3 linked regions of the Anolis sagrei genome follow. The main gene of each other region encodes a partner of the protein of the gene in region 2 in a complex. Links are inferred from orthologs where the notes say so. Each region holds a gene or a part of one and is shown on either strand. Other genes may lie near its edges.

Region 1 (10,434 bases), on a different chromosome or scaffold from region 2:
TCCACATTAGTTGTAGATGACTAGTTGTCCTCTAATTTTATCTTATTTTATTGGAGTGTATTGTACAATTCTTTAGTGTTTCAAAATATATTTTAAGCTGTCTTGACTACCATTAAAAGCAGGCTATACATGAATAAAATAATCACCACTATTATCATCATCTGAAAACCTCAGAATTCCATAGGGTGGAACAATGGAAGTCAAAATGGAACTTAGCACTATAATTTTGCAGTGTGAAAGGACTCCTTCTCTCTTAGTTTTTAACAACTCTAGGCAGGTTGCTGACCTAAATAAATGATGCAGCCTGGCCCGTTTTTCCTGCTTTTAACAGCAGATTGTTCCAGAGAAATCAAATGGAATTTCTAACGTTATTGAATAAGCATTAATATGATTTGATGTCTGCAGTACACTGTAATCACCACAGGAATTGGCAAACCTGGCTGTTTATTCTACTTTACATACAGTCCTTTGTCTGGAAAAATGAACAGCAACCTACTGGATGCTAATCCAATGTGATAAAGGGAGAAAGATAAGTGATCACACTTTGAGATGGAGAAGGACAATCTTCCAAACGATAATGTGTTTCACAGAAACATGTTCAAGTCCAGGATGCCAACTTCCTAGTTGACTGGGTTGTTGTAGGTTTTTTCGGGCTATATGTCCATGTTCTAGAGGCATTCTCTCCTGACGTTTCGCCTGCATCTATGGCAAGCATCTTCAGAGGTTGTGAGCTCTGTTGGAACTAGGGAAATGGGTTTATATATCCTAGTTGATTCCTCTCACTACTGTTTTAACACCAATTTAATCTGCAACAAGTCGCATATGGGCCTTGATTTCGCTGCTGCAAGCAATTACAGCCACTCTTTTGTAAACTGCTGACTTTTCCATCTTGGCACTGGCAATCGGGCTTGTAATCGGAATGAGAGGACTGACAACTTTCTAGTAGTCCAGCTCCTGAGTTTTGAACAGCAGCCCAATCACCTTTCCCAACAATTATTCCCAGCTTTCCCAAGTAATTATTCTCACAACAGGAAAGGCAGCACCACCTAAATATTTGGTTATGAAGCTGTTGATGGTACAATAATAGTAGGGTTAGTAAAAGGGAAGGCAAACTCCTCAGGAAATCAAAAAGAACAAAAGTGGTTTTCATTCCTCCATTTTTCAGAGACCTGAAACTACAGTATGCATGTAGCAGCACCTTTAAGACTAAGGGCCCTTCCACACAGCCATATAACCCAGAATATCAAGGCAGAAAATCCCACAATATCTGCTTTGAACTGGGTCCATCTGAGTCCACACTGCCATATAACCCGGTTCAGAGCAGATAATGTGGGATTTTATTTAGCTGTGTGGAAGGGGCCGAACTGGTTTTTATTCTTGCATGAGCTCTCATGGTTATCAACTCTCTGCTTCAGTTGCAGTACAAAGTGAGTTGTGAAGAAGTGGGTTCATATCTGTTTGATCATAATGGGGTTCTTTTTGCTGGAAACTCCTTATGGGCTTTCTTGAAAACAATAACCAGAAGAAAAAAAACAGACCTAGTAACCTTCTGAAGATTAGAAGGAATTACTTGTAGGAAAAAAGAGAAACTGTCTTAATGTTAGAAAGTGAGATATGAATAATTATGTCATGTTTTTCTTCCTTTTACTTCTTTGTATTTCCTTTTAAAACTTTTTTCTATATATGGCCATCTGTCAGGGGTGCTTTGAATGCAATATTCCTGCTTTTAGGCAGGATGACCCATGAGGTCTCTTCCAACTCTATGATTCTATCTTTTTTCTATATATCTTTACTTAAAGGTTAACATCTTTAACGAAAAAAAGAAGTGGGTTGCTGTCCATGAAAGCTCATGCTAAAATAAAAGGCTGTTACCAGCCAGCCCTCTGCACAACTGCATCCATAGGTCTAACTACTCATGGCTTGAAATTGTTTGATAGAAAAAATCCAAAGTCAAAGGTGCTGCTACATTCCCCCTGTCCTCCATTTTATGATGGAAGAGACTATGCCCCCTTCTACACTGCCATATAATCCAGCTTATCAAAGCAGATAATCCACATTATCTGCTTTGAACTGGATTAGATGAGCCTACACTGCCATCTAATCAAGTTCAAAGCAGATAATCTGTCTTTTACATGGCAATGTAGGACTATATCCCTGGATCTGATCCCAGGTTTTCTGTTTATTACAGATTAATAATAATAATGATATATATTTTTTTAAAAATATTTATACCCTGCCACCATTCCCCCAAGGGGACTCGGGGCGGCTTACATGAGGCCAAGCCCAACAATGCAATACATCAATATACAACAAAACACAGCAATAAAATATAAAAAATACAAATACAATACAAAACCATTATAAATAGTACAGTATAGGAACTCAAGGCAGACTCTTTACAAGCCAGGTAGTGTCCCCAATGTCTCTATATACATAGAGGGAGAAATTGAGAAAATTGTATTATATCACAGCCATATAACCCAGAAAATCAAGGCAGATAATCCAAAATATCTGCTTTGAACTGGGTTATCTGAGGGCCCTTCTAGACAGGCCCTATATCCCAAGATCTGATCCCAGGTTTTCTGTTAACAACAACAACAACAATAAACTTTATTTCTATCTCACCACCATCACCCCAAAGGGGACTCAAAGCGGATTATATGAGGCCAAGCTCAGCAAAACACTACAACAACATAAAATATAAACAACAAAATAACATCACAGTAAAAATTAACCAATCAAATAAAATAAATAATACAATATAACATAATAGAAAATCCAACACAATGGGTGGGCCAAATGTATGGCATAAAATGATAAACCTCTGGATGAGATAGCAATGAAAAGTGCAATTTGTAGAGAATTATCCCAGATTATCGGGCAGTGAGTATTCATATAATCAAGTTTAAAACAGAAACCCTGGGATCAGATCCTGGGATACAGGGCCTGTCTGGAAGGGCCCTGAGTCCACACTGCCATATAATCCAGTTCAATGTGGATTATATACAGCTGTGTGGAAGGGGCCTTAGATCAAACCTGGGCAAACTTTGGCCTTCCAGGTGTTTGGGACTTCAACTCCCTGGAGGGCCTAACAACTGTTAGGAATTGTGGGAGTTGAAGTCCCAAACACCTGGAGGGCCAAAGTTTTCCCAGGCCTGCCTTAGATTATATATTGTACTAGTGGTCCCCTGCCACGCGTTGCTGTGGCCCTGTCTGGTGATCTGGAAAATAAAGTAATGAGACAATGTTGGTTTCTAATATATGTAATGCCTTTATGCTTGTGGGTTAAAAGTATTTCTTGTTGTTTCTTTGTCAGTGTTGATGTGGAGATTGTCTGGTTTGCCTACTCTGGACATGCAACATATCATTGTCCTTCTTTAGGGGTCCCTTTCAAATCTTTGATACTGCATCTGTCATTATACATATATGTGTGTGTGAATGGCTGGATGGCTCTTTGTCAGGAGGGCTTTGATTATGTTTTCTTGCCCTGGTGAAGGGAGTTGGACTGGATGGCCTTAAGGCAGCATTTCTCAACCTGGGAAGTCAAGACCGGGGGGGGGGGGGGTGTCACCAGGGTGGTGTCAGAAGGGTCACCAAAAACCACAGTATTTTCTGGGTTGTTGTAGGTTTTTTCGGAATATATGGCCATGTTCTAAAGGCATTTTCTCCTGACGTTTCGCCTGCATCTATGGCAAGCATCCTCAGAGGTAGTGAGGTCTGTTGGAACTAGGAAAAGGGGTTTATATATATAGTATTTTCTGTTGGTCATGGGGGTTCTGTGTGGGAAGTTTACCCTAGTTCTGTTGTTGGTGGGGTTCAGAATGCTCGATTGTAGGTGAACTATAAATCCCAGTAACTACAACTCCCAAATGTGTTCATATTTGGAGATATAGAATATTTGTGCCAAGTTTGGTCCAGATCCATCATTGTTTGAGTCCACAGTGGTCTCTGAATGTAGGTGAACTACAACTCCCAAACTCAAGGTCAGTGCCCACCAAACCCTTCTAGTGTTTTCTGTTGGTCATGAGAGTCCTGCATGCCACGTTTGGTTCAATTCCATCATTGGTGGAGTTCAGAATGCTCTTTGATTGTAGGTGAACTATAAATCCCAAGAACTACAACTCCCAGATCACAAAATCAAAAAAAATTGAGTGAAGGACATACATTGGATTGTTAGGTGTATGTTGTCCAAATTTGGTGTCAATTCGCCCACTGGTTTTTGAGTTCTGTTAATCCCACAAACGAACATTACATTTTTATTTATATTAGATATAGATAGATAGATATGAATGACAGAGAAGGCTTCGAGGAAGGGTAGAGAAGAGTTGGTAGTGAGTACCTTGTAAACAAAAGTTACATTTCCTCTATTGATTGTGACTTTGGGGAACACTCTATACATCCCCCCCCCCTTTAAAACAAACCCTCAAATGGAGATGCCACCAAACCAAAGGGGCTTGAAGTCCCAAACACTGAGCCACTCCAACGCCTGTGTCCCAAATCAAAGGCCGAAGGAAACAGGCCTGTGCGCATCGCGGCCTAGTAAACCGGGTCCCACTCACAGCGGATGGTGTGGAAGGAGGCCTTGGGGTGCCGCTCGAAGCTCTCTCCCAGCTGCAGCGGGTGCTCCTCCTTGTCCAGCAGCGGGTTCGCCGAGCCGTTCATGGCCTCCGCAGGCCGCAACGACGATGCCGGTCGCCGTTTGCCTCCTTCCCTCTCTTCCTCCCTTCCCTCCTTCCCTTCCCTTCGCTTTCTCTTCCGGGCTTGGTGTCACCGCGAAAGGGTTCCCCGCTTGGCAAGGAGGCAGGAAGGCGAGCAGGCTGCTTAGGCCTCGCAGAAAGAGAGAGAAAGAAGATCCCACAGAAGAAGAGGGAGGATGAGCCTGGATGAGTCAAGGGCGCCTCTGAGCATGGACAGAGCGCCTCAGGAGAGCGGTGCGTGTTGGTGGGGGCGGCTTTGTAGCTCTTGAGGCCTTTTAGGAAGGCAAAAGAAGAGACACCGCTGTAGAATTACAGGCAGTTTCCAAGCTACCAACAAGATGGGATTTGTAGGTTTGCTCTTAAGTTGAATTTGTTTCAAAGACCCCTTCTACACATTAATATATCCCAGGATATCAAGGCAGAAAATCACACAATATCTGAGTGTGGACTCAGGGCCCTTCCACACAGCCCTATAACCCAGAATATCAAGGCAGAAAATCCCACAATATCCTCTTTGAACAAGGGCCCCTTCCACACAGTTAAATAAAATCCCACATTATCTGCTTTGAACTGGACTATGTTAGTTTCTTAGGTGATCCCTCATTGTCCTAGTAGGATTGTCTTCCAAGATCGGTGTCCTGGCGGTAGGTCCGTAGGTGACTGTGGAGCCCTATGGGTTGGCATGATGCGCCTTTCTCTTGGCACGTTTCTCTCTTTTGCCCTCTATTCATACCTCTTCAAATTCTACAACACTGCTGGTCACATCTGACCTCCAGCTGGAGTGCTCAAGGGCCAGGGCTTTCCAGTTCTCAGTGTCTATGCCAGAGTTTTTAAGGTTGGCTTTGAGCCCATCTTTAAATCTCTTTTCCTGCCCACCAACATTTTGTTTTCCGTTCTTGAGTTCGGAGTAGAGCAACTACTTTGGGAGACGGTGGTCGGGCATCTGGACAACGTCGGCGGTTTTATAGCTTTATAAACAAGCACCTTGGTATCCCTATGGATGTCCTGGTCCTCAAACACTCTGTGTTTCATTTGGAAAAAAGCTGCACTTGCAGAGCTCAGGCGATGTTGTATTTTAGTGTCAATGTTGACTTTGGTGGAGAGGTAGCTGCCAAGGTTACACTATTAAGCTGTATTTCTGGCATTGGAGAGGGGCTGACTGTCAACTGCTGGAAGAGCACTTTGTTTTTCTCAATGTTTAATGACAGGCCGAGCTTCTCCTATGCTTCTGCAAAGGACTATATGACAGTGTGGACTCAGATAACCCAGCTCAAAGCAGATATTGGACCTTTCCACACAGCCCTATATCCCAGAATATGAAGGCAGAAAATCCCTCAATATCTGCTTTGGACTGGGGAATCTGAATCCACACGGCCATATATTCCAGTTCAAAGCAGATAATGTGCGGTTTTATTCAGCTGTATGGAAGGGGCCTGAATCTACAATCAGATAATGTGGAATTTTCTGCCTTGATATTCTGGGATATAGGGCTGTGTGGAAGGGCCCTGAGTCAGAACAGATACTTTTTAAAGTCTAACTCGGGTATGGGCAAACTTCGGCCCTCCGGGTGTTTTGGACTTCAACTTCCACAATTCCTAACATGTTGGGAATTGTGGGAGTTGGAAGTTCAAAACACCTGGAGGGCCGAAGTATGCTTATGCCTGGTCTAACTCTAGCCACACACACACACACACACAAATATATGGCTGGAGTAACACTTGATAAAAAGTACAAATCCAACTTAAGAACAAACCTACAGAACCTATCTTGCTCACAACTTGGGGACTGCCTGCATATATATATTTCATATATAAAAGCTTTGGATCGCATAGGGAAGGGTTGACACCCCAGTGGTGTTTGTTTTGCATCCTGTGTCTCTGGGCCCTTCCACACAGCCATATGGCCCAGAATATCAAGGCAGAAAATCCCACAATATCTGCTTTGAACTGGGCTATCTGAGTCCACACTGCTATATATTCCACTTCACAGAAAATGTGGGGTTTTATTCAGCTGTGTGAACGGGGCCTCTGTTCAGAAGATTTCACCTCATTTTCTGTCCCTCTGGAAAATGTGGCTTGTTGTGGAAACAGGGATTGGTGAGAAAGCTTCATTTGAGCTTCAAAACCATTTTGGAAAAATTCAGGGTTTTGCTTTGTGACCCATGATTTTAAAGCTTTTTTAACGTCATTCAGTGTCAGACTACACAGAGAAGCCAGAGCTCCTGTGAAAGACAACCTACGTTGTTTCAGATTCAATGGGTTGAATGATGTTAAAACAGCTTTAAAATCATGGGTCATGAAGCAAAACCCTGAATTTTTCTGAAATGGTTTTGATGCCTGGGTTAAATGATGCCACAAATATGTGCAAATTGATGGTGACTATGTTGAACTGTAGTTTTGAGTAGAGGATAGTTCAGGCTATGATTGGTTGCAACTTCTGCTGTTATATGTTCATTTATAACATTTTATGACACAGGAGACAAAACATTTTGACCCACCAGCGTGTGTGTGTGTGTACACATACACACACACACACACACACATATATATAAATAATCCGGACTTACACTTTAAAATTTACCTGTTGCAACATGCATGTACATTCAACTTCAGAAAAAACCGACTGAACCCATCTTGTTCGTAACTTAGGGACTGCCTGTATAGCAGTTTTCCTAAATTTATTTTTCTCCCCCGAATTGCACAGTTTTGTGGTTGAGATCTGACATATTAGAAGACAACAGGTTAGGGAAGGTTACTGTATCCCAATCTATTGTGGGAGGCTTACATCTGCTGTTGACATTGTTTCTTCTTTTGCTTTTTTCTTCTGCATAAAAATGTATTTATATTTATAAAAAGTGATATTATAGGGAAATGAATCACCATGAAGATCCTGTTATCATTTTGCTGTGTTCTCAAGTGGAAGATATAAAATGGTAACCTTTCCCTTGTTGTCGTCTTGAATCTAGTTCTTTCCTAGAAGTATGCGATTAAGGAATGCAGTGACTACAAATCTGCGCTTCCTCCTTTAATCGAAATGAACGAATTGAGGCTTCTCCAGAGTGAGTCATCTGCAGCTGAACTTGATGGGGTAATATCAGATCTCGAAAATGGAGGTTTCCATAGAAGAGGACATAAGATGAGAACGCTTAGCCCCGAAGAAGCTGAAAGGCTGGCCAAAGATCCAGTCGTAGTATCTGATTTCAAGCAACAGAAGCTTGAGAAAGAAGCACAAAGGAATTGGGACTTGTTTTACAAAAGGAACAGCACAAATTTTTTCAAGGATAGACACTGGACAACAAGAGAGTTTGAAGAACTAAAATCCTGCCGTGAAGTGAGTTTCATCTTCCAGAGATGGCTTTGCTGCCCAATTTGGAAGTAACTTGTGCCAAATAACTACATTACCTATAGAGCATGGTGTTGGCAGTGTCTTTACTTGGAAAAGTAACCTTAAAAGTAACTGTAACAGTGTTGCTTTTTGGAATAACCTGTGTTATTTTGATCCAAAACACTGATTTCAGGAGATTTATGGTCATTTTTTTTTATTTTTATTAGTATTACAAAGTACATTTTTAAAAGTAAATAAAATGTAACTAACCAGTAATGAATCACAATTAGGCACAAGTTATTTAAAAACACACACACACAAACAGAAACAGAAAATCCAACAGCACTAGCAAATTACTTTTCAAAAGTAGCATTCCAAGTTCTGGATCGTCTTTCCTGGAGGGCCCAAATGCATCATCTTCTATATGTAACTATCCTATGATTTTTGGTTGCTTCTGCTACCTTTTTGTCTTATTAGAAAAAGATCTATTATGGAGGAAAAACAAGTGGAAATGTTGCAAAATCTCCTTTTTCAGCACTAGAAACTTCCAAGTATTTTTAGACCACAGTTTCCAGGGTTAAGGAATGCTGGGAGTTATAGTCCAACAACAGCCTGAGTGATCCATAATTTCCATGGAAGCATCTCAAGTTAGAGCTACTATAGAAGTATTTTGTTTTGCTGGAAGACTGTAGGCAGTTGTAGTTTTATCCTGAGATGTACAATTTTATGTGAATGTCATGGGCTTCAGGCAAAAGAGATGTGCTTCATTTATCCCATGATGCAGCAGTTGTAGTTTCTGTGATGAGATGCGGTGTACCAACCCTTCACATATATATTTTAGGTCTGTCAGTCAATAGCTTCTTATTCAGAAGTCCTACTGTCATAAAGGAGCTGTCACGTCTGATCAAAGCTGCATGTTGTAAAGCTTGATTTAGCATTTTGGAAGAGCACAGTAGTCCAGGAGTTTGAGCAGTCTCTCTTCCTTTTTCCCAACCTAACCACCTTCGACTACACCTCCCATCATCCCCAAGCAGCAGTCAAGGCACAAATTGTTCTAGTACTCTAACTACATCTTAAAGGCACAAGATTGCCAATGGGTCGTATATTTTGTTGCAGCAATGTTGTACAACATACCTTGGTTCAAAGTTAGATAAGTTTGTGATACCATATCTTTACATTATCTGTATAAAGGTGTGTTGGAACTAGTGTAGTTCCAAAGCTGTTGTAGAATAAATCAGTTTTAGAAATTATTTTTCTATTAGGAGGACAACAGTCATGCTTCAGGTGTTTCCAGTATAAATTAATAAATATTTTTTGGAAGTGTCTAATGTTAAAAATCAAAGGAAGCGAATTTGATAAGGCCTTGGGAATGGACAACTAAGAGTCCATTCCCAAAACTCACTGATGCTTTCTGAGTAAAAAATGGTATATAGAGATACAAATAAATTATTTCAGTTGAATTTGGCAAAATTTGGCTTAAAATGTGTCCTCAACAGATTACATCACATTCTTTTTTTCATAGCAGTGAACCTAGACTCAGTCAAGAGGTAGATTTGAAAATATTCTCTTGAATTAATCTAGTTCCTTCTCATGTTGGGTGTGTAAAAAGATTCATTGCATTGTAAGGCTGTAATATTTTAGAGCTATTTGAAAGATTATAGTGCAATTAATTGGTAACTGTGTCAGCATTCTTGAATAACAGAGCAGAAGGATCTGAGATTGGATTTGCAGGTAGGACGGAATATAAATAAAGTTTTATTATATAGCTTAGCCATCCTTTTAAAAGAAAAAAAAACCATTCCATACTACACATATTAACACTCTGCAACATACAACTCTGACTTGAATTATGGTATTTGCCTGGTCTTTTAATTTTTATTAAAATATTCTTAGTATTGTTGATATGTCTCCCACCCTAACTTCCTTTTTTGTCTCCATTGCATTCAGCAACTGAGTGCATCATATAACACAAAATCATGGTGGTGTTTATTTCTGGCCTTAACTGTAGAATAGTGCTGAAATATTAGTCACTTTGGACTTAGAACCTGAAAAAAGTATTGATATTTAATAATAGGAGGATTTCTATTGCTTTGCTAGGATGTAACAGATGTAATTATTTGTCTACCATACAGTTTGACGATCAGAAACTGACAATTCTTGAAGCAGGCTGTGGTGTTGGGAACTGTTTGTTTCCACTTTTAGAAGAGGATTTGAATATCTTTGCTTATGCCTGTGATTTCTCTCCACGAGCCGTGGAATATGTAAAGGTTAGTAAAATAATTCATTTTCCTGCAGCACAGATAGGGCTAAAGTGTGGACAGGTAAACGCAGATACATTAGGATTGGCAATAGAAGAATCCCACTGTTTTGCATTGATTACTGCAGACACACTACTGCAACCTGATGCTTTTTG
Region 2 (11,330 bases):
CCCAACTCTGATGAATATACCTTTGTGTCTTCGAGAGGCACCGAGGAGCTCTTCCACTCCAGGCCCGCCTCGGCTGTCTGTGCGGCGGTGGCGGAGGAGGCGACATGGCCATTTGGTGAGTATATTGCCTCCTCCTCCGCTGCCACAGGGACAACCAAGGTGGGCAAAGAGTAGAAGAGCCCCTCGGTGAGGTTGAAGCCCAGCAGCGGGAGACAAGTGGGGCTGGAGGAGTGCAGCAGCTGCTGATGCTTTGGGTGCCACACTCCAGCGCAGGGCAGCCGCCCGCCTCCCTCGCCTCGACCCAAAACAGGAAGTGATTTTTTTATTCCTGGTTTACTAGACGACCCCCAAGTTCAGCAAGGATTTTCCAGGGTTAAAAAGTCATCTAGTACGCCGGAAAATACGGTAGTTTGCACTCTCTTTCTATGCCCTTTTATCTGTATGCATTTTGTTTTTAAGACATTTTTGCAGAAATAGCAGGACATCAATGAATTCGTAAGCCAAACTTCCTTTTCCCAACCTCAAAGCTGCAAACTCACCCCTTCCTTTTCATTCTCCATCAACACTTTCTTCAGAGCCACTTTCTTCCCAGTCTGCCGGTGCTTTGCTTTAAACACCTCCCTGGAGAGAAAAAGGAAAGAATCTCTACCATTTGCAAAGGAGGAGTGTGACAAATTCTCCAGGTGTTTTGGACTTCAGCTCCCACAATTCCTAACAGCTTTGGAGGGACCAAGTTTGCCCATGCCTGTTCAAGAGAATCTGGAAAACCCAAGGCCAACCAACAGTCAACAGCCAGGCTGTTCCAGAACATCTGTTGCTGGGAGACCAACAACAATGAAGGAAAGACCCACTGTTACAGCCAGCCCTTGGCTTTACAATCTGCTTGGATGTTATTGGAAAGACGGGATGCGGAAGGAAAGAGATTCAGCGTGAGTTTCTATTCCCAACTGAAGAACGGGAAAAGTCATGTTGATGGACAGGAAAAGAGTTAAAGGTGGGCTTAAAGCCAGCCTTAAAAACTGTGGCACAGACACTGAGAAAGAACTGAGAAGCCCTGGCCCTTGAGCGCTGTAACTGGAGGTCAGCTGTGACCAGCAGTGCTGCGGAATTTGAAGAGGCACAAATTGAGGGCAAAAGGGAGAAATGTGCCAAGAGGAAGGCACGTGAAGTCAACCCTGACTGGGACCACCTTCCATCTAGAAACGGATGCCCTCTAATTTAATTCCAGTATTTTGGGGGTTTTTTTCCAAAAACTTCTCCTGACCTTTTTAGTTCAGGGGGTGCTGTGGGTGGGATTGTGTGAGTTTCACATACCATTTCAGTATCTATATTTTAATTTTTTGTAACCACACAGCTACCAATTAATTGCTTTTTAATTGCCTTTTAACTTTTGTATTGCACATTTTAAACTTGTCTAGTGTGTATAGTAAAGGACACAGAGTCCACCCTCAGATGATGTGGGATTTCCTGTCCTTTTTCTCTGGTCGTGTCAAGAGCGACTTGAGAAACTGCAAGTCGCTTCTGGTGTGAGAGAATTGGCCGTCTGCAAGGACATTGCCCAGGGGACGCCCGGATGTTTTGATGTTTTACCATCCTTGTGGGAGGCTTTTCTCATGTCCCCGCATGAGGAGCTGGAGCTGATAGAGGGAGCTCATCCACACTCTCCCCGGATTCGAACCTGCGACCTGTCGGTCTTCAGTCCTGCCGGCACAGGGGTTTAACCCACTGCGCCACCAGGGACTCCTATTTCCTGCCTTGATATCCTGGAATATGGCTGTGTGGAAGGCCCTCAGTGGTTAGACTGATATACCTGGATATCTCTCTGAACTGTTAGCAACGAAGTTATGCCAATGCAAAAATATATAGGAAGGAAACAGGGAGGGAAGAAGGGAGGCAAAGAAGTAGAAAAAGGGGGAGGGAAGGAAGGAAAGAGAGAAGGAAGGATGAAACCAAAGAGCGAAAGAAGGAGTGAAAGAAAGAGGTAGAGAAGAAAGGAGAGAAATGGGAAGGGGGAAAAAGGGGGGGGGGAGGAATAGGTAGGTACTGCTCTTTCATAATAGTCCAGATATCTACCTCTTCTTCGAAAATTCTTACTATATGCCACAGCAACGCGTGGCAGGACACAGCTAGTAAACATATACACAAATATACACACACACAAAACACATATACACAGACTGGGCCACAGCAATGTGTGGCAGGGGACTGCTAGTAAAATATATTTATATTTCTAGAGCTGTGTGGAAGGGCCCTCAGTGGTTAGACTGCTATACCTGGATATTTCTCTGAACTGTTAGGAACAAAGTTATGCCAATGCACAAAATATATAGATCTTCAGAAGTGTTATTTCAGTTGCCCAAAACATTTACTCTCTCATACAATATATTTATATTTCTAGGGCTGTGTGGAAGGGCCTCCAGAGCTGGAGAAGGAAGAAAGTAGAATCATAGAATGCAGTTGGAAAAGATCCCATGGACCATCTAATCCAACCCCCTTCTGCCATGCAGGAAAGGCACAATCAAAGCACCCCCGACAGATGGCCACCCAGCCTCTATTATTATTATTATTATTATTAGTAGTAGTAGTAGTAGTAATAGTAATTGTGTTAGAAACCAATTTAAGGTGATGGAGCCCAGAGGGCAGGGAGGAGACGAGATCCGATGAGGTTTTTCAACAAGTCTTTTATTTTCAAGCTGATCAGCATTGAGACAGACAGCCCTTGACCGTTCAGGTCAAAGAACAAAGACTGCCCGCCCCTTGTGGCTCTCTTAACCAAGTTTTTATACTCAACACTCAGGCAACTTTTGATTGGTCCTTCTATGTTTTTAACATCAAAGCCTATAACAATGATTCTGTTGGAATGTCTGACCCTGAGCTGTGGCTTCTCTATATGCAAGTTGCTTATCTACATGGCTGAGAAAATTTAAGGAGTAAGGGAATGAGCTTACCCCCTAACTTACTGCTTGTATCTTTGACTGAAAAAGAACACAGAGAACAATCATTCTTTCTCTATAGACAGGGCTTCTGGGACTTGTAATAATTGGGAATTTAATTTTCTAAATCACATCTCTCTCAGTAGTAGAAGCAACAACAACAATAATGGAGTTGGAAGAGACCCATCCAGTTCAACTTCTGCCATACAGGAAAAGCACAATCAATATTATTATAGAATCATAGAGTTGGAAGAGACCTCATGGGCCATCCAGTCCAAGAAGGAGGAATATTGCATTCAAAGCACCCCCAACAGATGGCCATCCAGCCTCTATATTATTATTATTATTATTATTAGTAGTAGTAGTAGTAGTAGTACAAGAAAGGAGATTCCATCTGAACATTAGGAAGAACTTCCTGACTGTGAGAGCTGTTCAGCAGTGGAACTCTCTGCCCCAGAGTGTGGTGGAGGCTCCTCCTTTGGAGGCTTTTAAACAGAGGCCAGATGGCCATCTGTCAGGGGTGCTTTGAATGCAATATTCCTGCTTCTTCTGGATGGCCCATGAGGTCTCTTCAAATCTATGATTCTATAATAATAGAGTTGGAAGACACCCCATGGGCCATCTAGTCCAACCCCTTCTGCAATGCAGGAATAGTACAATCAAAGCACCCCCGACAGATGGCCACCCAGCCTCACTATTATTAGTAGTAGTAATAGTAGTAGTGGTACTAATAATTGAGTTGGAAGAGACCTCATGGGCCATGCAGGAAAGGCACAATCAAAGCACCCCCGACAGATGGCCACCCAGCCTCAATATTATTATTATTAGTAGAATTATTATTATTATTAACTTTATTTGTACCCTGCTAGCATCTCCCGGAGGACTCGATGCAGCTTACAAAGGCCAAGGTCTCAATACACAACATAACAATACAAAACCTAAAGCAAATTAAAAACAATTAAAGCAATATTAAACAACAAGCAATAAACAATACACCAAAACACAATAAAACTGGGCCGGGCTAGAGTAATGGGTACAGAATTAAAAGTGCTGATGTGGCAATAATAATAATAATTGAGTTGGAAGAGACCCCATGTGCCATCCAGTCCAACTTCTGCCATCCAGGAAAAGCACAATCAAAGCACACCCGACTGATGGCCACCCAGCCTCACTATTATTATTATTATTAGTACTAATAATAGAGTTGGAAGAGACCCCATGGGCCATCCAGTCCAACTTCTGCCATGTAGGAAAGGCACAATCAAAGCACACCCGACTGATGGCCACCCAGCCTCACTATTATTATTATTAGTAGTAGTAGTACTAATAATAGAGTTGGAAGAGACCCCATGGGCCATCCAGTCCAACTTCTGCCATCCAGGAAAAGCACAATCAAAGCATCTCGACAGATGGCCACCCAGCCTCACTATTATTATTATTATTATTATTATTAGTAGTAGTAGTAATAATAATAGAGTTGGAAGAGACCCCATGGGCCATCCAGTCCAACTTCTGCCATGCAAGAAAGGCACAATCAAAGCACCCCCCACCGATGGCCACCCAGCCTCATTATTATTATTATTAGTAGTAGAAGTAGTAGTAGTAGTAATAGAGTTGGAAGAGACCCCGGAAAATGCACAATCGAAGCACCGGAAGGCTGTTAGAGATTGTGGGAGTTGGTGTGGGCCCAAGTTGGCCTAGGCCTGCTTGAGAGAAGGGAAGGAAGGAAGGAAGGAAGGGGAGGGTGCTCACCCGAAGGTGCCTTGCCCGATCTTGGCCAGCTTCTCGTACTTGGAGACCTCATCGCAGAAGGGACACTCCACCGTGTCGTACTGCTTGGCCATGGCAGAACTGGCGACCCCGACCTCTTCTGGCTGCCGGCGGCTTCCGTCTGAGGGGCGTGCGGCTGCACTTCCGCCCGGCCTCGCCTCCATCCGGGACGCCACTTCCGGTAATCCGCTTCCGCCGCCGCCGCCATGCACGCCGGGAGTCGTAGTTCGAGAAGGGGGCGGGGCTTGCGCGAGAGTCCGGAAGTGGGCGGCGAAATGAGCGGGAAGGATTGCAGCTGCTTCTCCTCTGGCCTGTCTGGCTCTCCCAAGTAACAACAACAATATTGCAATGGTAGAAAACAACAACAATAATATTGCAATGACAGAAAGCAATCCTAACTAATAATAATAGTACATATGTTTATATAGGAATATTGATACCACTTTGAGGGAAAAGTAGAGTACAAGGTTGCAAGTCCGCTTGAGGCCTTCATTAGACTCAGTGGAAAACAAAGCTTTGGAAAGAGGGATCGAAGACACAGGGAAAGCCTGGCTTACAGTAAAGGCAGGAAGTTTGAAATGAGTAATTATTATGATTGGGCTGCTGTGATTTTTTTTGGAACGTGTGCCCATCTTCCAGCAGCATTCTCTCCTGACGTTTCACCTGCATCTGTGGTCAGTGGCATCCTCTGAGGTTCTTTTGTCAGTGAGGCAAGTGGAGAGTATGTATGCTAATAATATTGTGTGTGTATGTATGTATATATGTGTGTTGCGTGCGTGTATATATATGACAAAATTGGGGCAAACTTCCTGTGCGTGTGTGTGTGTGTGTGTATATATATATATATATATATATACACACACACGCACAGGAAGTTTGCCCCAATTTTGTCATTAGTGGGGATCACAATGCTCTTTGATGTAGGTAAACTATAAATCCCAGTATCTACAATTCCCAAATGTCAAGCTCTATTTTCCCAAACTCCATCTGTGTTCATATTTGTGCATATGGAATATTCGTGCCAAGTTTGTTCCAGATCTATCATTGTTTGAATCCACGGTGCTGTCTGGATGTAGGTGAACTACAACTCCCAAACTCAAGATCAATGCCCATGTTAGTCATGGGAGTTCTGGGTGCCAAGTTTGGTTCAATTCCATCATTGGTGGAGTTCAGAATGATCTTTGATTGTAGGTGAACTATAAATCCCAGCAATGACAACTCCCAAATGACAAAATTAATTTTTTGAGTAATGGTCACTCCTTGGGTTATTAGGTGTCTTGTGGCCAAATTTGGCAGCAATTCGTCCAGTGGTTTTGAGTTCTGTTAATCCCACAAACAAACATTACATTTTTATTTATATAGATATATCTTGTAAACCGCTCTGAGTCCCCTTCGGGATTGAGTCTCCTTCGGGAATAGTGCCCAGGGTGGGAGAAAGAACCCTGGTCTGTGGCAAGTGTGAATGTTGCAATTGGCTGTCTTGATTAGCATTTAATGGCCTTGCAGCTTCTAACCCAGACTGGTTGCCGCCTGGGGATATCCTTTGTTGGGAGGAGTTAGCTGGTGAATGGGTTGTTGTAGGTTTTTCGGGCTATATGACCATGTTCTAGAAGCATTCTCTCCTGACGTTTTGCCTGCATCTATGGCAGGCACCCTCAGAGGTTGTGAAGTCTGTTGGAACTAGGAAATTTGAGTTTATATATCTGTGGAATGTCCACCCAAATTTCCTCGTTCCAACAGACCTCACAACCTCAGAGGGTGCCTGCCATAGATGCAGGCGAAACGTCAGGAGAGAATGCATCTAGAACATGGCCATATAGCCCGAAAAACCTACAACAACCCACTGATTCCAGCCATGGAAGCCTTCGACAATAGCTGGTGAATGTTGCAATTAGTATTGAGTGGCCTTGCAGTTGCTGAGTCAATCAGTGAGGGTATTTATTGGCTGTTGTTGCCTGGAGGCATCCTCTGTTTGTCTTTCTAGTTTTTTTTTTCATAACTTTTATTATGTTTTCGCACAGTTGAGTTGAGCTTCAACGTTTTTACCAATTTTAACATATTATCCACAACATAAATTCCTTGAATTAAATAAAGATGGGTGCTGTCCCCTCCTGGACCTAACCGCTTCATATATTATTTCCAAAACATCATTGTTTACACTGCAGGTTTGCTTCCTTGCCCTTCAGCACAGACATGTGCTATCAATTTCCCCCATATATTCCAAAAAACATTTAATTTCCAAATTATTTTTTAGTCTTATGTCAATTTATCGTTTATTGCTATATTCCACACTTCTTTGTACCAGTCTTCTATTATTATTGTTATTATTATTATTCTATCTGAAAATCATGTTTTTATTTCCAATTTTTCGCTATTATCAGCCTCACTGATGTTAGTAAATTGGAAATTAACTCCTTTGTTGTGTTGTCGAAGGCTTTCATGGCTGGAACCACTGGGTTGTGGTGAGTTTTCCAGGCTGTCTGGCCATGTTCCAGAAGCACTCTCTCCTGACATTTCACCCACATCTATGGCAGGCATCCTCAGAGGTTGTGAGATCTGTTGGAAACTAGACAAGTGGGGTTTATAGATCTGTGGAATAATGTCCAGGGTGGGAGAAGGAGCTCTTGTCTGCTTGAAGCAAATGGGTAATGTTGTCATTGACCACCTTGATTAGCATTTAATGGCCTTGCAGCTTGAAAGCTTGGCTGGTTTTGATATTGGAGGTGACCTCCCCCTCCCCCAGGACTCTGTAAAAGATGGTTCAAAACCAAGGAATTCATAGTTTTACCAAGGACACCAGGTTGGAATGATCTCATAATCCCCTATTTTGCAAACATTAATAATTTAAACCAATCAAAAGGACATTTCTTCATTTTTTTTCCTGTTACCTGCCTCCCTTCTACCCATTGGCTGAGAGGCCGAAGCGGCGCTGGCTTTCTCATTGGCTGAGGCATGCCTAAGCCGGCCGCACCTCCCCTCTAGCTGATGACTCCAACCAATCAGCGTGAAGCCGGCTAAGGGGGACGGGGGCGGGAAGTTTGAATTTGACAGCTCTGTTTCTCTATAAAAATGTACTGTTCTGTCTTGCAAAACATGTCAGTTTTTGGCAAGGGATTGCAGCTTGACATCCGTACCAACTGGAACAAAATAAGGGCAATTTGATGGCATTTTCTTCAATTTGGTGAAACTTTTATCGGGAAAAATCAGGGAAAATTCTTTGGGTGCTTCTATCTGTCTTGCCAGGGTGAACGGACTCTCTTTGGTGGGTCTGACTGGTCTCTGTCTCCTGGCAAAGACCCCTAAATTCTTGCTCGATATTAGTTTCATGTCAGGGAAATTCCTGATATTAAACAATCAGGGCCAGTTAACACCTCACAACAAAGGATCCCCCAGGCAGCAACCAGCCAAGCTTTGAAGCTGCGAGGCCATTCAATGCTAATCAAGGTGGGCAATTGCCTCCAAGAGACAAGAGTTCTTTCTCCCACCCTGGACATTCTGGAGATTCTGGTTTTCCGAAACATGCAGCCAAAAAAACTCACAGCAAACCAGTGCTTCTGGCCATAGAAGCCTTCGGTTACGACAACACACTCCTTGAATAAGTAATGGCAAAGGGATCCCTATGAGAAGGCCACCTTAAGCAGAAGTCAGCATGATGGTACACAACAACAAGGACACATGCCTTGGGATGTATTTTTCCATGGGGAAAAGGGAAGTGCCCTTAAGATATGGTTGCACAGCTCCTGTTCCATCCCGCAGGGGCACTGGGGGCGGAGTGACCTTTGTGCTCCTGGTGCTCCACTCTGCTCTTTGGCTGAGTCGCTTCCTTGCTTCCTTTCTCCCCAGGCTGATGTTTTCTCCCTTTTTTTGTAGGATCTCTCATCAGATAAGAGGCCTAACAATGGCTCCATTTGAAGGCTGGCGGACCCTGTCCAGTTTCAAGGGGCTATTTAGTTTCCACAGAGCTTGAAATGACAGTCATGGGTCCGTTATGTGTCTTTCTTTAGGGGCAATCAATCCTCCAACTTAAGCTACTGAGGGAGAACAGGAAGGGGCCTGGGGCTGTTAGGAATTGTGGGAATTCCAATACATCTGGTAGGAAGGTCAAAGTTTACCCATGCCTGGCATATCCAAAATTTATGAATTAGATACAACTTACTAATTACTAATAATTTCGTATATTGTCTATATGAAATTGACGGTTGAATCTGTAGATCTGGGGACTGCAGATACAGAGGACTCACTGTATGTAATTCAATTTGGAAAAAGGAAGTAAAAAAAATACAGTATGCACAAGAGAACTCAGGCTTAGCTTCTCACTCTAACGTAGTGTTGCCTGAACTGACTTTAAGGTAAACAACTTGTTGTTTAATAGACACCCATGAAATTGTTGGTTCCTGTGAATTTCCTTCAGAACTTTCTCATGTAATCTCTCTGAACGACACAATCTATTTTTGTCTCTAATTTATAAACACAGACTTTTGTTGATCTCTGTAGCTATACGTGGATTCCCATGGGAACCCTCCTTATCACTCAGATCTTTACTTGATTCCTTATTTGCTGCTGCTTCTTCTGGCTCCCCTGACTGCCCTTGAGGCCCTGCACCTTCCGAGTCAGTTTTCTCACCGAGAGAACCATCATTTCTCAGACCTGAATTTCCCAGACTTGAGAGCCCATGAACAGGAACATAGAAAACTTCCAAAATTAACACTTGACTTGAACCAGGAACAAGAGAACTCAGGCTTAGCTTCTCACTCTAACGCAGCATTGCCTGAACTTAAGATAAACAACGTATGTAATAGACACCCATGAAATAATTCATAGATACAACATAAGTCCACAATCAAGAAGATATAACTAGTAAAACTTGATAAGGAGTACATGAACAGGAACATAGAAAACTTTCAGAATATCAAATCCAAAATCAAGGCTTGATTTGATCCAAGAACAAAAGAACTCAGGCTTAGTTTCTCACTAATGTAGTTGCCTGAACTGACCTTAAGGTAAACAACTTGTTGCTTAATAGACACCCATGAAATAATTCAGTTTCCTGTGAATTTCCTTCACAGCTTTCCCACGTAATCTCTCTGAATTTTCAGCTCTGATTTATAAACAAAGACCTTTGTTGATCTCTGTAACTACACCTGGGTTCTAATGGTAGCCCTCTTTACTCAACTCTTCACTCGATTCCTTAGCTGCTGTTGCTACTTTTGACTACTCTGAATACCTTGAGGCTTTGCACTTTCGAAGCCAGATTTCTCACAAAGAGAACCATCATTCCCCAGACTTGAATTTCCCAGACTTGAGAGCCCATCACTTTGTGCCACAGGGAAGCGCACAATCCTCTCTAAACCATCAGTTAAGCCATCAGCCTCTGGTGGCTGATCTACAACAACATGGTTGAAGCAAGACTCAAAATGAGAGAAGTGACCGATAGGAACAAGTGGAGAACAAGAAGCAAACAAGCAGACCCTGCAAATTGATGGGACAAACACTAAGAATTATTATTTATTTATTTATTTATTTACATCGTTTCTACCCCGCCCTTCTCACCCCCGAGGGGGGACTCAGGGCAGCTGACATGGGCAACAGTTCAATGCCATAATATCAATACAACAACATAAAATCAAATACATAAAAAATTAACAATAACATTAATTAAAATCACATAGTCATATACTAATGTAGTCGCCTAATCAAAATCACATATCCGTTTACTATTGTCATAATCCCGTGGTCCAGTTCAGTGTCTAAGTGCTGCTAAGACCACTAGCTGAAAGCCTGACTCCAAAACCACAACTTTAGTTTTTTCCTAAAAGTGAGGAGGGAGGACGCCGATCTAATTTCATTGGGGAGCGAATTCCACAAGCGAGGGGCCGCCACTGAGAAGGCCCTGTCCCTCGTCCCCACCAGATGCGTTTGTGACCCCGGTGGGACCGAAAGCAGGGCCTCCCCAGTAGATCTTAAATTACGAGGTGGAACGTAGAGAGAGATACGTTCGGATAAGTAAGCTGGGCCGGAGCCATATAGGGTTTTATAGGCCAAGACCAGCACTTTGAATTGTGCTTGGAGGTGGACCGGCAGCCAGTGGAGCTGACGCAGCCGGGGGGTGGTATGCTCCCTGTATGGCGCTCCGGTGAGTAATCTGGCTGCTGCCCGTTGGACTAGTTGAAGTCTCTGAACAGTCTTCAAAGGCAACCCCACGTAGAGTGCATTGCAGTAATCTATTCGGAATGTAACCAGAGCAGTAATAGTTGCAATAATCTATTCGGGATTACTGTTCGGGATAAGTACATTGCAGTAATCTATTTGGGATGTAACCGGGATGTAGGAAGAAGAAGAGGAGGAGGAGGAGGAGGGAAAGGAGGTAAATGAACCAGGAGTTTGAGATTTTTTTTAATTTTGGGGTTTTAGCTCCCAGAATCCCCCATTAAAAGAAAAATAATTTTGGCAGAATCCGCGATGGACCACTGACGTCTTACAACCAAAGGAGCAAGTGTTGGGAAAGGGCACGCAGAAGCATCGTGTGCCTTTTTTTTCCCTCTCCTTTCTTGAGTTTCATTCTCTCTTTTTTTAAAAAAAGGATCAAAGCAAACGCAGAGAGTAGGGTTGTGCAAGTGCAGAGGAAAT
Region 3 (10,613 bases), on a different chromosome or scaffold from region 2:
AGCTGCTAATTAACATGCTTCCTCAATTAGGGAACAGTCAAAAAGCGAGTCCTTGTTGGCATCAGCAGTCACAAACAACTATGAGCACACACTGAATTATCCTATTCTATTTTTTACCAATACAACATGGCAACAAGGAACTTTCCTACATTGAATGGACTCGAAATTGTCATACAAGCACACACTGTTTCAGCTGCATTTTTGATTAAATGTTTGCACAACTATTTTCTCTTCTTAACACATTGATTATTTCATGAGAATATTTTGGCATCAATGTGTGTTTTAACTAAAAAATCACATCATGGGAACATACTTCCATAGCAGAAGAAATGTGAACATACTCTACAAGAATACAAATTCTATCAGAAAACTAGAATAAGAGAAGGATGCATTAGAAAGTAGGGGGCATGTCAAACAAACCATGAGGAAAAAAAAAAGCTGTCTCCAAGCAACTGCTTGAGTTTTTCAGAAAAACTTGCCAAATATATTATTTTGTCTGTGCAAACATGATATTGGGCCAAAAGTCACAAATGTGCCTGTCTTTTAAAATATTTTTTGGAAATATTTTACATATAATTCTCTAAAAATACAGTATATGATGCAATGGCATTGTAAATCAAAAACAAAAAAGGTGTTATTAAATATTACAACCCTTTTGTGACTTTTGGTCCACCTTGTACAAACACAAGTTTTTGAATAAACCAGATACTGTGTTTTAAAGGCATTTTTTTGTAAAATTACAGTGAAGCTATTTAGAACCTAAAATATAAACAGAGCCCAAATTATGTACTTTTCATAGTTTAATTCATCCAAGGCACTTTGTTATTAGGATTCATCATTTAACAATTGTCTCAAATTCTTCAACTCTCCTTTAAACAAGAAGTTCATAATGGTTTCAAAAAGGCTGCCATTCTAAGTAGTCAAGAATGGAAACAATAGTAAAGTTTTCCCCTTGGCATTAAGTCTAATCATGCCCGACTCGGTGGGGCATCTCTATTTCTAAGCCGAAGAGCCGGCTTTGTCCATAGACGCCTCCAAGGTTATGTGGCAAGCATAACTGCATGGAGCGCCACTACCTTCCCGCCGGAGCAGTACCTATTGATCTACTCAAATTTGCATATTTTCAAACTGCTAGGTTGGCAGAAGCTGAGCCTAACAACGGGAGCTCACCTCACTCCCCAGAGTCAAACCGCCAACCTTTCGGTCAGCAAGTCCAGCAGCTCAGCGGTTTAACCCGCTGCACCACTGGGGGGCTCTATGGAAATAAAGTCTATTTTATTTCATACTTCAAGTATTAAAAGTAATTATGATTTAAGACTTAAACTACACCTCTTCTCCCTAGGTATGAAGAAAACTTACCTCAATATTGGGTAAAGTTATTGTCACCTGTTCACCTTTACCAACTTCAAGGTCTCCTTCAGAAGATGTATCAATGGATGCAGGCTTGAAGTCATCTAAGAAAAAAAGAGGAAAACAGACAATGACAATATTTTTCAGGACTTCAACACTGATCAGGTCACAAGAGGGAGGGAAATGCGGGATCTTTCCCCTGGTGTCTTTTCCACTGCTGGCTGATTTGCCATGTTGAACCAAAAGTGCATAGTTTTAGATATGTTAATGTCTATTCTTACTGAATCGTGATTTGATAAATAAATAAATTGAATTAATCTGCTAAATTCAATTAATCTGCCTGAATTAATCTGCTAAAAATAGGATTAATCTGCTAAAAATAGAAGAAACGTCAAGATTAAAGAGCATGGTAGAGAACTACACAATCCACAAACACACACAGTGTGTGTGTGTGTGTGTGTTTAGGGCTAGCCCTCAGATGCTGTACTATAATAACTCATGCCACAGTAAGCTATTGTTAGGATGCCTTTTTAGGTTTATGTGGCACAACCTGTTGTTGGCTAACATCTGGCAATTTCCGGGCATCCTAAGGCCCGTCGCAAACTCTGTTCCTGCGGGAGAAAACCTTGCTAGCATGTCCCTGACGTCACGAGACTCTGCCTCTCGCCCCGCCCCTTTCTCCGCCCCTTTCTCTTTGCCAGCGTGGTTTTTCCTTTGCTAGGGCAGCATTGCCCGCATTTTCTCTCAGTTGGCTGAATTCAACTGAGAGAAAATGCGGGCAATGCTGCCCTAGCAAAGGAAAAACCACGCTGGCAAAGAGAAAGGGGCGGAGAAAGGGGCGGGGAGAGAGGCGCAGGCTCATGACGTCAGGGACTTGCTAGCAAGGTTTTCTCCCGCAGGAACCTAGTTTGCGACGGCTCTAATGTTCCTTTCCCAAAACCACAGAATGGTAGTTCCCCATTTAAGTTTGCCAAGTTCTCTTTTCCCTTGTGTTTGATTCTTAGAAGCACTGTAGATTATTGCAAATAATGGAAACCACCAGATGAAAGTGATATTCTCAATGAGATTAACATCAACACAGGGGCTAGTTCCTCCATACTTAAGGGAAAGATAAAGATTTCCCCTTACATTAAGTCTAGTCGTGTCCGACTCTGGGGGGTGGTGCTCACTTCCATTTCTAAGCCGAAGGGCTGGTGTTGTCTGTAGACACCTCCAAGGTCATGTGGCCAGCATGACTGCATGGAGCACCGTTACCTTCCCGCCGAAGCGGTACCTATTGCTCTACTTACATTTGCATGTTTTCGAATTGCTAGGTTGGCAGAAGCTGGGGCTAACAGTGGGAGCTCACCCAGCTCCCCAGATTCAAATTGCCAGCAAGTTCAGCAGCCCAGCGGTTTAACCTGATATGCCACTGTACTTTCCATACTTTCCTTACAAATATGGGAGTTTTTCAAAATCAATTTACTCCTTCCTCATACTCTCACTGCTTTTGCAAAAAAGAGCAATTTTTGCTCATTCAAATAAATTAACTAAACACAGATAGAGTCTATAGTTCCCCTTGTACCCAAAATATCTCATTTAAGGACAAATTGCCAATATTCTTCACATTTAAAGACCAGTATTAGATGAATTAATAAAGATGATAAATTGACAAATTTCAAAGAAACTTTCAACAGACCACCAATTATTTTTTGACTTCCACTTATTTAAAAGGAGTAGGAACAAAATGACTACTGTAACAGGGTCATGAATGGTACTCTCAAAATGAAGAAAGCTCAGGGCAAGCAAGATTTTGAACAGATCTCAGGATTCCAGTAATATGCAAAGTGCGTCCTATCTCAAGCATCCGTTACTCTAGAGTAGTCATAGGTAAACTTTGGCCGGTAGGCTGTCAGGAATTGTGGGAGTTGAAGTCCAAAACACCCAGAGGGCCCAAGTTTGCCCATGCCTGCTCTAGACCCAACTATAAGTTCAGCAATATCCTTTTAATGAATGTGAATTTGGTTAATATTTATGCAAGTGCCACCAATTATGAAGATGTTGATTATTATTATTATTATTATTATTATTATTATGTATATGCTGCTTTTTCTCTTTTGTGTATTATGTATATACCCCTTTTCTTATAGAATCATAGAATTGGAAGAGAGCACATGGGCCATCCAATTCAACCCCATCCTGCCATGCAAGAACACACAATCCAAGCACCCCTGACAGATGGCCATCTAACTTCTGCTTAAAAACTTCCAAATGATGAGGCTCCACTTCCCTGCTTTGAAAAAGATACCAATGTATAGTTGGGATTCACACTTGGATCTAGTCATAAGTCTCACGCTTTATTTTTGGCACCAGTGTCCCCAGCTAACATCTCCGAATAATGGCTGTTATAAAAACCGAACTTGTCACTTCATCAACATGCCACAAGTTTTGCATTTCTATGGTTCTTCACACAAGAAACTATCAGGGCCAGCTAATCATCTCCGAACAAAGGATTCCCCCAGGCAGGAAGCAGCCAAGCTTTGAAGCTGCAAGGCTATTCAATGCTGATCAACTGCAGCTTTCACACTTGCCTCAGACAGACACCCTGGGCATTCCACAGATATATAAACCCCACTTGCCTAGTTTCAAGCAGACCTCACAACCTCAGAGGATGCCTGCCATTGATGTGGGTGAAACGCCAGGAGAGACTGCTTCTGGAACATGACAATACAGCCCAGAAAACTCACAGCAACCCAGCTCTTCACATTGTCTGCTCATAAAAGTCACTCTACTCCATGCAACAGGTGACTACAAAAGTTTATGCTTACAATTTATTTCTCCCAATCAGTCTCAAAGGTGACACAAGATCCCTTTGCATACTGATTATGTTAAATAGCTCAAGGTTCCTCCTCTCCCAAAATCTTCTGAACTCTCCTCCCCATTGAAATCCGAAGATCCAGCGCTTTGCTCGACAGTCCTTTCTTTTACCTTCTGCTTCTCACCCTCACTCAATCCAGATTGCAGAATTATAGCAGTTTAACACCACTTCGACTGCTAATGTTCCATCCTATAGAACCCTAGGATTTGGAGTATGGTGACAACCCAGGGAAATCTACACTGTTTCCCAAGCTCTGGCCAGCCAGGTGCTTTGGACTTCAACTCCCAGAATCCCTCATCATTGACCAAGGTAGCTAAGGCTTCTGGGAGTTGAAGTCCAGCATCACTGTGATCAAAGAATTCTGAACATTCCAGCCCTTCTGGACTTCAGATCCCAGAATTCCTGGCCGTCGGAAAAGGTGGCAAAGGCTTCTGGGAAATGAAGTCCCAGACCCTCCTGGCAGCTTGAACGCCGGTCCAGCCTCACTCACAGCGGACGGTGTGGAAGGCACAGCGCGGCTGCCTCTCGAAGCTCTGGCCCAGCCGAAGGATGCGCTCCTTACAGTCGAAGAGCGGCGGGGCCGCCCCGTTCATCCCCCCGCCACACGCAGTCCTGCGCTCTGGTCACTCTCGAAGAGATGCGCTGCCTAGCGCTGCCACAACTGCCCGCCCCGCCTCAGCCAAGCCACACAGCTCACAAAGGCCACGCCCCCTTCCCCTCCTGCCTTCCTTTCATTGGGCGACTGCGCCGACACCACGCCCACCTGGATACGTCCCGCCCCGTTCTGGGGACAAGCGTGACGCAAGAGAACTGTGGCTTTTTTGATTGGTTAGCGACACTGCCACTGTCGCTGAATGAAGAAAGGTTGAAACTCCCGGAGCGCGAGAGAATGCTGTTTATGCAAATTAGGGTGGTTTAGGGCGGGGCGACGGGCAGTGGCGTCTCGCTCCGAGGATGGCGGCGCTGCTGATTGGTGGGCTCCTTGTGCCCTCACCATGGTAACTGGCCGTTGGTAGGGAAACCTCACTAGTGTTTCCGGTCGGGAGCGGAAGCGGTTGAGAAGTGGATCAAGAATGCCTTGATACCTGAAGATAACTTGAGAAGAAACGTTGTTCTCCAGGTCTTCTAAAGGAGTGCGGCTTCAACGGTCTTTATTAGTGTTCTGCATCTATTGTTGTTGTTCATTCGTTCAGTCGTCTCCGACTCTTCGTGACCTCATGGACCAGCCTACGCCAGAGCTCCCTGTCGGCCGTTACCACCCCCAGCTCCCAGCTCCTTCAAGGTTAATGCAGTTTGACACCACTTTAGGTGCAGCGGCTCAATGCTGTGGAATGAATCCCGCGAATTGCAGCCTGGTGAGGCCCCAGCGCTCTTGAAAGACCTTGTCAAACGAAAACTCCCAGGATTCCATAGTATTGCGCCATAGCAGTTCAATTGGATCAAACTGCATTAATTCTACAGTGTAGATGCACCCCTTGTGAAGGAGAGGCCTCCAGGCCACCCTTATTATGAGCAAAATGCATCCAGAGATGGCTTTTTCTTTTACCAATCTCTACTCCTTATCAAATTTCCATATCTATTTTTGCGCTAGCATGTTGGTGTTAACCTAACTTATCTTATCTGCTTCCCCGTTGTCTCTGTTGCATTGTTTTCAAATGCTCAGTATGGGATTCTGGGGCCTGCTGTTTCCCTTGCCTGCTGTAGGTAGGCACAAACAGTTATAATAATCCCATGGAGTATAGAATCCAGCTTTTTCCAAGCTATCACGGCAAAAGTATGATAGCTGGGACCCAATTCTGGTTGCGTGACGAGGGTCAGTTAGAGAAGCGAAGACGTTACATATTTGAACGTGCTTGCATACGATATCCGGATAGCCTTAAGTAGTATGCTTGGCTATTTGTTGACCTCCCCCCCCCCCCCCTTTCTGGCAAACTATTTTGCCACGACTCTGTCACAGCTGTGTCTCTCACTCGTTGTGCTGTCTTGGCATTGTGTCCCAGCTATCATACTTTCGCCGCTATCACTTTATTATATGTATTTCTGATATTTTGTTGTAACCTGACACTGAAAATGTGTGTCATTCTCCAGTATATCATTAAGAGCCTTCCAGTGCTGATGCAGCTAAACAACCTTTCCAGCTAGACAGGATAATGAGAAAAAAGCGAGGTGAATGCGAATTAAAAAGACTGCCAATAAGGGGCATCTTCAACAGAGGCTTTGTTAACTGAGGCCCCTTCCAAACAGTTGAATAAAATCCCACATTATTTGCTTTGAAGTGGGATAAATGGCAGTGTGGACTCAGATAACTCAGTTCAAAGCCAATGCTGTGGGATTTTTTGCCATGATATCCTGGGTTATGTGACTGTGTGGAAGGGCTCTGAGAAACATCTTTAGTACTTCTGCCCTCAACACTCCTTGTAGTCCAACCCCGCTTTCCCCATAACTGTTAATTTGGTGGCCCTTCCACACAGCCATATAACCCAGAATATCAAGACTGAAAACCCCACAATATCTGTTTTGAACTGTGTTATCTGAGTCCACACTGCCATATATCCCAGTTCAAAGCAAATAATGTGGGATTTTATTGAGCTGTGTTGAAGGGGCATAAGAAAGCCCAAATAGGGCAGGTGGTTTAGCATACAAGGAGTTCATACTTACATTTGGCATATCTATTTGCAGAGTCGAACTGGTGGGGAAGGAAGGGTTGCTCTCATGTGTTGAAATAGTTATGGTTATAACATTAAAATAATAAATTGACATGACAAAATATTCTTGTAGTTATAAAAAGCTATTTGTTTCAGTTTTGGAGGCATGCAATTATCTGATGATAATTCTATAAATGATACCTGGTGAATCACAGTATATGAAATTATCTGGAAATGATTTACTGACAGTCAAATCTAGGTCTCTTTGTTCTGACTGACAGCTGATCTTAAACTTCTGCATCTTTTATGCGAACCCATTAAACTGAAAATGCTAGGGAATGAATCTGCCATAAAAGTATATTTTCAACTGTAGCTGCGAGTGGGACAACTCCCCCGGCTCACCAATATTATAAAGGTAAAAAGATGAAAGTATCTTTAAGAAAACAGAATTTGTGAGATTCTTAATGACATTTGCCTTCAGAACATATCTGGTGTTAATTTTATTAGACACATCATCTAATCCACTCTTCTCCAACCGAAGGCAAATATCTTGCTGGTTTTGTCCTCCTTTCTCTTATTAAAATACAGCTGTCCTATGAAATGAAGCCATTACCTGTGGATCCCAGAATATTGTCACTGGCTGCCCAGGTCACTGAAAGCTCAGGTCAGGATGTCCCTGGGCTACTGCTAAAGATAAAAGGTAAGTATTTATTTATTTGCTTAGGAATTGACAATATTCTACTAATCTATCCTAAAATCTCTAGTGCCATAGGTCCCTTGGTAATACTGTCACATCTTATGCGGGGGGTGGGGGGGGGGCATTTTCCCCATTTACATCAAGGTGTAGTCATCTCAACATTAGGCTTTTTCTTTTATAACAAGGTATGCATCTTCTTTCAAAATGAAATTGCTTTTCTGGGAAGCAAGGTCTGGGAACTGAAAATGAAACCCACACTACACATTTTCCATTCCTGTTTTAACTTCAAGACAAATATGTACATGAGACAAATATGTACAAAGCCTCTTATATAACAAATGAACCTGAAATTTATTTCATTTATTTATTTACTTTGTTTTATTTCCCGCCTTTCCCCCTCATTGAGCATCTAACGCTAGGCAACAATTTAATGCCGTTCAGATATAATACAGTACTGACTCAAAATACATAAAAATAAAAAAACACAAAGCTTAAACAACAATACATTTGATAAATTCAAAATTCATTATCACAGTGCTCTATCTGATGACGGTTTTTGAAATAACACCTGTGCTTCTTTGATGTTTTGCTCCAAATTTTATGAGTATGAGTATAAAACTTGATTTGGGGTTAGAAAAGCAAGAGAATTTATTAGCATGGAGTAAGTTAGTTCTTCCTATGTCCCTTCCTAATAGAGTAGCTGTAAGAATGATATAGTCATCAAGGACCAAGGTCTTAAACAAAAATCATTTGCAAATAACTAAGTCTATCATATTTGGTCCTTGTCTGTATTGCCGGTGATCAGGCCATATACTACAGGTACATTAATTTTAATACAATGCATTTAATAAGAATAGTCAACCCTGATTGGGAGTTATGTGGGTTTGTTCACAGAACCTATAAGTATTTTCAAGGAAAATAGGTGCAGGAATTAGGGACCAGATGGAGCAACAATGAGGCATGTATATGTTTGCTAGATTTCACCTAGGACAAGAGGAGCCCCTGGTGGCGCAATGGGTTAAACCTTTGTGTCAGCATGACTGCTGACCGACAAGTCAGCGGTTCGAATCCAGAGAGCAGGTTGAGGTCCCTGTGTCAGCTCCAGCTCCACCTGTGGGGACACGAGAGAAGTCTCCCACAAGGATGGTAAAACATTAAAACATCCAGGTGTCCCCTGGGCAACATCTTTACAGACGGCCAATTCTCTCACACCAGAAGCGATTTTCAGTTTCTCAAGTCGCTCCTGACAGGAAAAAAAAAACTAGGACAAGGCTTCTGTTCTCTTTATGTTACCATGGCAAATATTATTCCTATTTAAAAACATTTCATTCTCAAGAGAGACTGAGGAAAAACCACAAAGGCATTATAGTTAGAGGAACTCTGAATTGCTAGAGGACTACTTTCCAGTAAAGGAAGTCTTTGTGGGCAAAGATTGCTAATTCTAGCTGTGCAGAAGAAGGAAGTCTTACCCTCTGATTACCAAAACCCCATTTCAGTATCTGTCTTGTTTTGTGGCTATAATTCATGCTTGTTCAAAGCTTTTTCTGAACCATCTTAATCTTTACTTAGGTGTGCTTCCAGTGCTGCTAAAGTCTTGTCTGTGCCATTATCCTGATTGCTTTGCCTGTCTTACCTTGCCCATCAAATCTAACCTGTAGGTCAAGGCTGGGCAACTTGTAAATGCAAATAATTATTGGATTGCAACTCCCATAAGCTTCCACCATGATAACCGAGGGAAGTTGTAGACCAATAGCATCTGGAGGTCACAGTTTGCCTAATCCAGCTATAAGCACTCTAGGTGTGAGATGCCAACTCGTTCTTCTTGATTTTGTACATCTATTGTTATACCTCAGTATATGATAACAGCTATAGTAATAAGGCAGAAGAGGCAGGAAATGTGGGACTGTATTATCAGTTCATGTTAACTGTTCAAGAATATGTTTTTAAAGAATGGGTTAAAGTTCTGTGTTATTTTACACTCTATGATTTTTAATAGTTTTAATCTTTTAAATTGTATCTCATTAAGTATAGCTTTGAACTGTTTAAATACTGTGATTAGTTTTATTGTTCACTTTTTGTTTGTCTTTAGTCATGTTGTTCTCTTCAAATTGTATGCTGCCTTGAGTCCCAGTTCATCCACACCAAAATGAACTGGGAGAAAGATGAGTTACAAATAAATATGATGGTGGTGGTGGTGATGAAGTGAATGCAGCCTTTATTGTATAAATCAGGAACATGAACGTTTCCATTTGTTTTTATGCCCTAGATATTTTAACAAGTGTTGTCCCTGGAAGTAATGAATTACAAAAAATTAAGCAAGACTTATACTATTATGATCTGGTTCAATACTGCCTATTTGTCCTTAAGCAAGATTATACAGGAGTGTTAGGAGGTTGGACTACTGCTGCCCAGTTAGCAGAGATACTAAGGTAAAGCATCTTGTAGTTATACGGCTTTATTACTGAATCACTTGTAACTTTTCTGTTTTTAAATTTTTGTGTGGCGTGTATGTGTAATCAAGATATGGATGTATTACCTACAAATGCTAAGGGGGGAAAAGTATGCATATGTTTTGTTTTCTCAGCATATGTTGTGTGGGTCTTGAGGTGAAAGAAGAATCTGAGGAATTTTACAATAAGCTGCTTCCATCTGCTGTAGACAACCTTCTCTTCTTAGGAAGGCGCCTGCAGGCACGATTTGTCCGTGCAATCAAGGTATTTCAACTTGCTGGTTTAATGCTCTAAAGTGGAACTGTTTTGTAACTCGTGCCTGTTGTTGTTAATCATGGACCAGTGCTGGACAATAAAAGTGTTACTGCACAGATTGAGTTAATAATGTGTTGAACACAATAGAAAAGAGCCAATAGAAATATTTTAAAGATACATATCTGTTTCAGGCAATTGAATCAGCTCTTTATTTCCAGATATGGGAATGGGGACAGGCCTACAGAACAACATGATTCACTTTAGTTTCAGAAACGGAGTAGTCCATTCATCCATGGCACTAATATGAGTGAGTCTACTCATAATATAGTAATTCTGGCACTCCTCATAGCAATGTGTGT

Evidence for each region.
Region 1: CDK9 (region 2) and EAF1 share a complex: the UniProt entries of both Homo sapiens proteins name them as parts of the super elongation complex. The link is inferred for Anolis sagrei from reciprocal best matches to the Homo sapiens genes CDK9 and EAF1.
Region 3: CDK9 (region 2) and EAF2 share a complex: the UniProt entries of both Homo sapiens proteins name them as parts of the super elongation complex. The link is inferred for Anolis sagrei from reciprocal best matches to the Homo sapiens genes CDK9 and EAF2.

The regions. Positions count from the first base shown.
Region 1 is NC_090026.1:80,125,643-80,136,076, reverse strand, and holds the start of EAF1 (ELL-associated factor 1), read right to left. Parts: upstream 4,748-10,434; 5' UTR 4,663-4,747; coding exon 4,560-4,662; intron 1-4,559. Other genes in the region: tRNA N(3)-methylcytidine methyltransferase METTL6, read left to right, coding at 7,731-8,027, 10,154-10,288. UniProt on the Homo sapiens protein: Acts as a transcriptional transactivator of ELL and ELL2 elongation activities.
Region 2 is NC_090031.1:16,132,994-16,144,323, forward strand, and holds the start of CDK9 (cyclin-dependent kinase 9), read right to left. Parts: upstream 4,872-11,330; 5' UTR 4,868-4,871; coding exon 4,686-4,867; intron 622-4,685; coding exon 540-621; intron 1-539. UniProt on the Homo sapiens protein: Protein kinase involved in the regulation of transcription.
Region 3 is NC_090021.1:222,035,474-222,046,086, forward strand, and holds the start of EAF2 (ELL-associated factor 2), read right to left. Parts: upstream 4,906-10,613; 5' UTR 4,801-4,905; coding exon 4,698-4,800; intron 1,455-4,697; coding exon 1,360-1,454; intron 1-1,359. Other genes in the region: IQCB1 (IQ calmodulin-binding motif-containing protein 1), read left to right, coding at 5,425-5,562, 7,441-7,552, 9,816-9,978, 10,134-10,263. UniProt on the Homo sapiens protein: Acts as a transcriptional transactivator of TCEA1 elongation activity. Acts as a transcriptional transactivator of ELL and ELL2 elongation activities. Potent inducer of apoptosis in prostatic and non-prostatic cell lines.